Coturnix japonica: one gene and its partner. The protein of the gene in region 1 purifies or fractionates together with the protein of each later gene. This does not show direct contact. Links are inferred from orthologs where the notes say so. Each region holds a gene or a part of one and is shown in the gene's direction. Other genes may lie near its edges.

Evidence for each region.
Region 2: the proteins of GNAI3 (region 1) and RIC8A purify together in Homo sapiens (affinity purification with mass spectrometry; 3 studies listed by BioGRID and IntAct, counting the BioPlex papers as one, with this or other methods). This does not show direct contact. The link is inferred for Coturnix japonica from reciprocal best matches to the Homo sapiens genes GNAI3 and RIC8A.

Annotation. Positions count from the first base shown.
Region 1 is NC_029541.1:1,615,420-1,618,189, forward strand, and holds part of GNAI3 (guanine nucleotide-binding protein G(i) subunit alpha), read left to right. Parts: intron 1-600; coding exon 601-729; intron 730-2,713; coding exon 2,714-2,770. UniProt on the Homo sapiens protein: Heterotrimeric guanine nucleotide-binding proteins (G proteins) function as transducers downstream of G protein-coupled receptors (GPCRs) in numerous signaling cascades.
Region 2 is NC_029520.1:1,400,396-1,404,926, reverse strand, and holds the start of RIC8A (synembryn-A), read left to right. Parts: upstream 1-1,547; 5' UTR 1,548-1,663; intron 1,664-1,681; exon of another isoform or gene 1,682-1,772; intron 1,773-1,869; 5' UTR 1,870-1,968; coding exon 1,969-2,052; intron 2,053-4,266; coding exon 4,267-4,314; intron 4,315-4,531. Other genes in the region: BET1L (BET1-like protein), read right to left, coding at 9-176, 876-932, 1,277-1,368, 1,510-1,528.

The DNA of each region.
Region 1 (2,770 bases):
AAGGGCTGCAGGCAGTGTGGGGTGCAGCGGCTTTTATTGTATCCAGCGAACCTGGATGTGGTGGTGGGCAGCAGGAGGAGGCTGTGGGCTGCCCTGACCTGCTGTGAGTCCTCCCCACAGCCACCATGGGGCAGCCCTGGCTGTCAGCTGGCCTTGCTGAAGGTTGTGAATGAACCTGCCTGCTCTTTATGCTGCATTCCTTCCTGCTGCCTCGTTTGATGCATCCTTGCCCTTTAAAGTGAGCTGCTGGATTTATTGCCTCGCACTTTGATGCAAAAAAACCTTGACTGCTTTGCATTGCCCTGAGAGATAACAGCCTTGGCACGGCTCCTCCAGCAGCTCCTCCTGCATTGCCCTGCTGCCCAGCACTGCTCCCAGCACACACTGCAAGGTCGTGTTGGGGGGGGGGGAATTAATACAACCCCCCCGAGGGCAGAGCCGTGGGAGCTCGTGTCTATTTGCTGCGTGTTTGAGGTCTGCATTGAATACATTCAGTGATGACTTTCTCCTGCAGTTCATAAAAGATTCATAGCGAGAGCGCGGCCTAAAAAAGGAACCAACCAAACACCCCCCCCCCCGGTGTTGTCTCTTCTGGTTTAGTTACCTGAACGACTTGGATAGAATATCCCAGCCGACCTACATTCCGACTCAGCAGGATGTGCTGCGCACCCGGGTGAAAACAACGGGCATCGTGGAGACACACTTCACCTTCAAGGACCTCTACTTCAAGTAAGCCAAGAGCATGGGCTCCTATAGGCTCCTATGGGATCCTATAGGCTCCTATGGGCTGCAGTGAGTTCCTCAGTGCTCAGAGGGGTGGGGGGAGGTTCCACGCCCCCAGCAAAGCGCCTCCCCCTGTGCCAGCACTGCTCTCTGGTTTGACTTTTCTTTGCCTTCTTCTGTTCTTTCCAGCTGCTTTTATGTTGGACTCGCAGACGCAGGTACTGAGTGCTTGTTCACAGGAGCAGAACAGCAACTAATACTAAAAGGGCGCTGACTCCTGGCTGCTGAGTTTGAGTGTAACCCCCTTTTCTTTGACATGGGAGGTGAGGGCTGTCCCTTAGGCCCTGGCTCTGGGCACGTGGTGCTGCCATGCGCATCCAGCAGAGCTGTGAGGGACTCCTGGCCCTCTGTATGTCTGGCCAGCATCCCTGTCAGTGTGACCCACAGAGCTCCCTCTAACCCCATAGCAGCTGTTGGAGTGCAGCTGAGCTCCCTGCCCTTAGCACTTAGCCCTCCGTGCTGTGTGTCCCCATCCCAGCAGGCAGCCCCTGGATGTAGGAGAACACAGTGTTGTGTTGTGGGCGAGTTTCCCTCATCCTCTGGCCCTGTTTTCAAGCTGTCGTTGCTCCAAGCCACTAAATAAGCATTTATTGGCTTAACTTTTAGCTTGTGTTTGGAAAGAGCCCTAGCAAAAAACCATGTGTTGCTTATAGATTGTGGTTTGCTTGCATGCCCTCTAGGAGAACTGTAGTGCTCTGGCTTCTGTCGTAACTTACAAATGGTTTGAGCAGAAGTGCTTTGCACCGTGGAGCTGTTTACATGGCTGAAGGTTTGTCTTCCATCACGATGTGTTTCCAGCTGCAGTTTGCTCTTAGAAATCATTGCGTGTGATGGATGGGGATCCAGGCTCCCTTCAGCATCACAGCTGCAAACAGGGGCTGCCCCTTCCCTGCCCTCCTGGAGACACGGGGTGTCTGTAGAGGGATTTGCTCTATAAGGGAGGTGTGAGAGCTGCCATCCTGCTGTGCTGGAGCCCTGCTGTGAAGGCTCAGCTGATAACAGTGGGCTGATGTGGTGCAAGTGTGACTTGAATGTGGATCAGTGTGAGGCCGAGCTGTCAGGGATGGATGCTGTTTCCTTCCAGATTCATGTGTGCTAACAGCAGCCACGGTGGATGGTGGAAGCTGAGCAAATAGCCCCTATCTGGGCAGAGATCTTCCTCTTTCCTTCTGGGAACCAGCGGGCATTTGCCTTAAATAGAAGACAGGAGTTAGCAGAGCTGCTCTTGCGGCTCTCTGCTTTGACGTCACCGCGTTGTGTTGCTTTTGGCCCATGCTGCACAGTGCCCCCCTTGTCTGCGTGTTTGCTGTGATAACAAATCCGTGCTCATGATTTCTGTGCCTCTTGGATACACGATGGGTTGAAGGGCTCTGGGCAGCCCTGTGTCTCAGCAGAGCAGTGCTGCTATCAGCCGAGGTGCTGCACTGCAGTGCTCTCATAGCCAGGAGCTCCTACACTGAGCTTTGAGCTGCAGCAGCTCACCTGTTTGTTTCTTTCTTTCTTTGTTTCCATGCATAAAAGCGTTTCTTGACCTCACAGTGGTTTTCTTTTAGCAGCAGTGTGCAGGTAGATAGCCATGCTCCAGATAAACCTTTGTCAGGCTCAGTGTAAATGAACTGGAAGAGCTGATGTGAGTAGGTGTTTGGAGTCCAGTCAAGCAAACTGGATTGTTGCTAAGGAAATGGGAGGCAGGGAACAAAACAAGCGTGCCCTTGTGAATCAGCAGCTGATGGCTGAACCTTGGCTTGTTCTGCTCAAATGGCTCCAAAGAGAATCAGAGCCCGCTGGGGTCCTGAGGGGGGGCTCTGTGTTGCTCCCAGGCTGTGTGCTCGGTTTGAAGTGCAAACCAGGCCCTTCCATGAGCCCCCCCCACCTCCCGTGTCAGGGCAGAGCTCTGTGTGGCCTCTCAGTGTGTGCTGTGCCTCTGCAGGATGTTCGATGTGGGTGGGCAGCGGTCGGAGCGGAAGAAGTGGATCCACTGCTTCGA
Region 2 (4,531 bases), on another chromosome or scaffold:
AACCAAGATCAAGTCCCAGCTTTGGACACAAGATAGTAGAGGATGAAGAAAACAACAACCAGTCCTACAGAAACAAAGCAGAGTAACTTGCGGTTCTCCCTCCCAGAGCGTGTCATGGTGCTGAATCGCTTCATGCTGCCGGTCAGCAGCCCAGTAGCACTCAGAAAATCCGAATCCTAGAGGAGAAACAAAGTGCAAAAAGCAGCATTTCAAACTGGAGAGGCAGCCCATGAGGAGGGTCCAGCTTCCTGCTTAAAGAACAACTGCAGCAGCTGCGCTGTAACTGCCTGTATCTCTGTACCTATCGTGTCTCTCTTATGAGGAACTTCCCTGCCTGCGCTCGTGGCAAAGGCACAGGTAAATACTGCATACCAAGTATCTCTACATAAAGCTAGCACCGTTAATGCCTGCCAGGGCAGGCTAAAAAGCACCAAAACCACGCAGTTTCTTTCCATTAGTTCTCTTTTTTTTCTTTCAGCATGGGGCAGCATACACTTGTAACACCACCAGGTGGCAGCAAACAAGTCTTAAAGCAATTCATTATCATTTCGACTCCACGTCTGTTTTCCTTTCTCATAAACTACCTCCCACTTTTTGCTCACGTTTCTCCTGAAATATCCCTAAATCTTCTCTAATAGAAGCACAATTGCGTGCTGATTCGGGGCTTCTCCTTTAAGATCTCTTGTCTTTACATCTCTCATTCCAACTCTCCACTCTTTTGATTTCTAGGCTGAACAAATATCCAGTTCAGATACTCCAAGGCCATACACTGCTATTAAGGTTCCAAGCTATTAAGCTTCCAAGCTCCCACCTTTGACCAAACTGGTCCCAACATTGAAATTCATGCTTTTTACCCTTCTTTTTTGGTTCCTTACCATGCTATCCAGGTAACGGTTCTGTTCATCAGCATCTTTATCAATATCCAGAGCCAGCTACACAGCATAAGAGAGGAAATTGACGTTAATGAACACCAAGACAACCTGGAACGCATCTAGGCCCACACTAGAGGATGTGGTGGAGGTTTGTTAAGCACAGCCACAAAACAAGGCCTCTCACTCACTGCAGTTTGGGGTTGTGGGAATCCTTTTGCTGTGGAAATAATCTGGGAAAGCTGGCAGAAACTTCCCTATGTTGGACATATGACAACAGCTGACGGACCAGCACTGCCTCCTACTGCTACACGTCAGCCATCGTATGCCCACAGCACTGAGGAAGCCCACACAACTGCGTTGTCCCTGAGACCCTGCAAGCGTCCATAGCAGCGCCAGCAACTCACCGACTTCAGCCTGGTGACTTTGCTGGCCAGGTTGTCTGTCATGCGCTTGTTCTCCACGTCCAGCATATCCTCCATAGCAACCGCATTCTGTCCTGAGGAGAAAAGAAACGCGTCTCATCATCCCGACTGGGGAGCATGGCACATCCCCAAGATGGCGGCGGGGTGCCCCAAGATGGCGGCGGGGCGCCCCCTTTAGCAGCCCCTCAGCGCGCCCCTCACTCCTTCCCCCTCACCTCGCCCCCAGTCCGCCATGGCGGCACACGGCGAAAGGCGGCTCCGCCCGGCAGGAGGAGCTCCGCCTCTGTAAAATGGCCGCTGGGCCTTCGCCTTCCCTGTTGGGTAGTGAGGAGCGGGGAGCTATTACGGGAAGCACCGTGATCTGCTGCGGTAATCCTCGGGTGGGGAGGGGGGGGTGTCCCAGCGCTGTGCTGGGAGGGCATGCATTAAACGTCGGAAAGCAAAGAGGAAAGAAGAGGATTAGAGGGGCAGAGAGGCTGTACGTGGTTCACCCGTCTGCTTTATGGACGCAGCAGTGAGCCGGCTCGCTTGATTTTTGTTTCTTTTTCCCCACCCCCTTTCTCACTGCCTCTCAGTTCTCAAGGATCGAGGTCCCTTTGCACCGCTGTTATCCAGGAGCTCTGGAAGCCTTTCCTCTCTGCTTCCCATCCTGCTGTAGCTGAGCTGTTGGTATCATGGAGCTCAGGACCGTAGTGGCCACGGTGGAAAGCGGGGAGCAAGACGCGGTCCTCAAGGTGCTTCAGATCTACAACCAGGAGGTGAGTGAGCATCACACCTCAGCCTGATGTCACCTGCTGCTGTCAGCAAGCCTGGAAGCAGGTTGGGCCGTGTTATGGGTTCACAGTGCTGCCCAGCTATCCCATCTCCTCTGAGCATCTGTCTCTGCATTATTGCCCTGGAGATGTCATAGACTGCTTTGTTTTGTTACTTGCAAGCTGCTTCTTAATGATGCTTTACTAGGAAGCAGCTAAGAAGCCTCCCTTTATCTTGTTTATGCTGGAAGAAAAGTACATGGGAAGGATTTTCTTTATTATCCAGATTGCAAGTTAAACCCGGTAGGGGAATAATCATGGGCATGAGGAGTAGGAGGAGCCTTGATGCTAGGCAAGGTTTGGAGGTAATAAAACTCACACCTAGGGAGGAGCTGCAGGTAGGATTGTTGTGATTTGTAAGCAAAAGACAATTAGGAGTTGGTGTGAATGGATGCTGGGATTGGATTAGGGTGCCTGATCTGAAAGCTGGCGCATGAAATAATGAGTGTAGAACATGAAAAAGACCGGGTCAGGAAGCTGAAGTGCGAGTGACTCTAACCTTAGATCATCTGCAGGGGTAGTTCCCTTTTGAAACTGTCTGCCAGGGAAATTTCCTTCAGAGGGTTTCCACCAGGCTAGGGCTGGCCCTGCAGATCTGTGACTCATTCTGCACCATTCTGAAGTAGGAGGGAAGCTGGTGGGGAAAACCTGTGCTTATCTTACAAGCATGTGCACTTCCCTTCCTGCACTAACTGTTTCCAGCAGTCGGTTTTGAAACAGCAGGTCCCTTTTAAAAGGTTGGTCTGCAGGATTAGCGTTGCTGGCAGCAGCTGGTGTGCTGGAGAAATTAGGATAGTAAATGGCATTTGTTGTGCAACCGTGTTGAGGCACTAAATCCAATGCTTTGAATTCCTCCAGCTGGTTTCTTTGTCAGCGTGTAGAGCATAGGAAACTTGTGAGGATGTCAGTCATTTTGCTAGCTTGTCTGGGAGAAATGAGCTGAAGAGATTAAACTGATTATAAGCCAACCGACTTCCTTGCATAGTTTTTTTTACTACAAAAGCAGGTGCTGTTATATTCTTCTCTAGGTATATATATATATTTAATTCACTATTAAATATGCAGTCAGTTCCTGGTTGTCGGGAATAGAATACAGCTAAAGCCAAACCCACAGGTGTGTTATGGAAATATTTGTGAATGAGATTACAGGAGCCTGCAAAGAAGCTCTGGAAATGCCTTTGTGCACGAGGTCAGTCTGACTAACGTTCTGACTGACATGAGAAGGTTCACAGATGCAAGGGAAAGCTCCGTTCTGCATAGAGTGGAGCGTTCACCTGTTTTAATTGGCTGTGTGTGAAGAACGTGAGCTGAATAACAGTCCTACTTCAGGATGCTGTAGGAAGAACATAAGGATTTGTTTGCAAGTAGCAAGGAAGTGATGCTTTCTATTAGGAAGGAAAAGAAACAATAACAAAGGGGAGAAGAGCGTACACATAGCTTGGTAGAGTCATTAAGCGTAATCAAGTTTACCCAGGGAAGCTGTGGATACCAGGCCAGGCTGAATGGGGTTTTGGACAACCTGAGCTTGTGGTGTTCATGCCCATGGCAAGGGGTTGGAATTCAGATGATCTTTAAGGTCCCTTAAGACCCAAACTATACTATGAGTTATGGGATATTTGGAATGTATTGAATACCCACCTCACAGCTGCAGTATATAAAATTAAGCTGGTCCATCAGATGGGCACAGCTTTGGCCTGTGACATGTGGTGTCCACCACTGAGCCAGCAGAAGAGAGTATGGGGTGTTCATCGAATGTTTTTCAGGCATGAAAGAGAAGGAAAACAATTCTGACTTGGCAGCATGGGCTGTATCTGGGCTTTTCAAATGAGGTTCGTTCCCTGCTTGTTAAAATGTAGCTGAAGTTGCTGGATACAAACAGTGTTGAACAGAGAAGACAATAATGAAGCAAAGCTCTCAGCAACAGGAAAAACTGTCCTTGTGTCTGGCTCCTACCTATGCTGTTTGTTAAAGAGGTGTGCAGTATTCATAGGTTTTTTAACACTCTTTGCCTCTTTGATTCCCTGTGCTGGTAAAGACTTCTTGAGAAGGCTTACTTGTCTTTATAGAGTGCTTTTCAGAGTTGCTTTCCAAGCTTATTCCCTGTTTGGGAAAGGCAGATTTGTGGATTTTTAAACTCATACTTTCTTTTCTGCTCTACAGAAATCTCAATGCTTTACCTTTGATGATGAGGAACGGGAGGAGAGGAAGGTAGGCGTGCTCTTTGGCTTCTTGTTCTTGTTGTCCTGTAGATGGTGGCTGGGGATAAAAATCAGTATTCTTCCAACATTAGCAATCCCTTTGGGTTTGGTGATGCATATGGCTTCAGCAGCATGCATGAGAAGCATGATCCTGTGTGTGTGTGTGTGTGTGTGTGTGTGTGTGTGTAAATGGTGCAGTCTGCTAAGCAAAGATAACAGCAGCATGC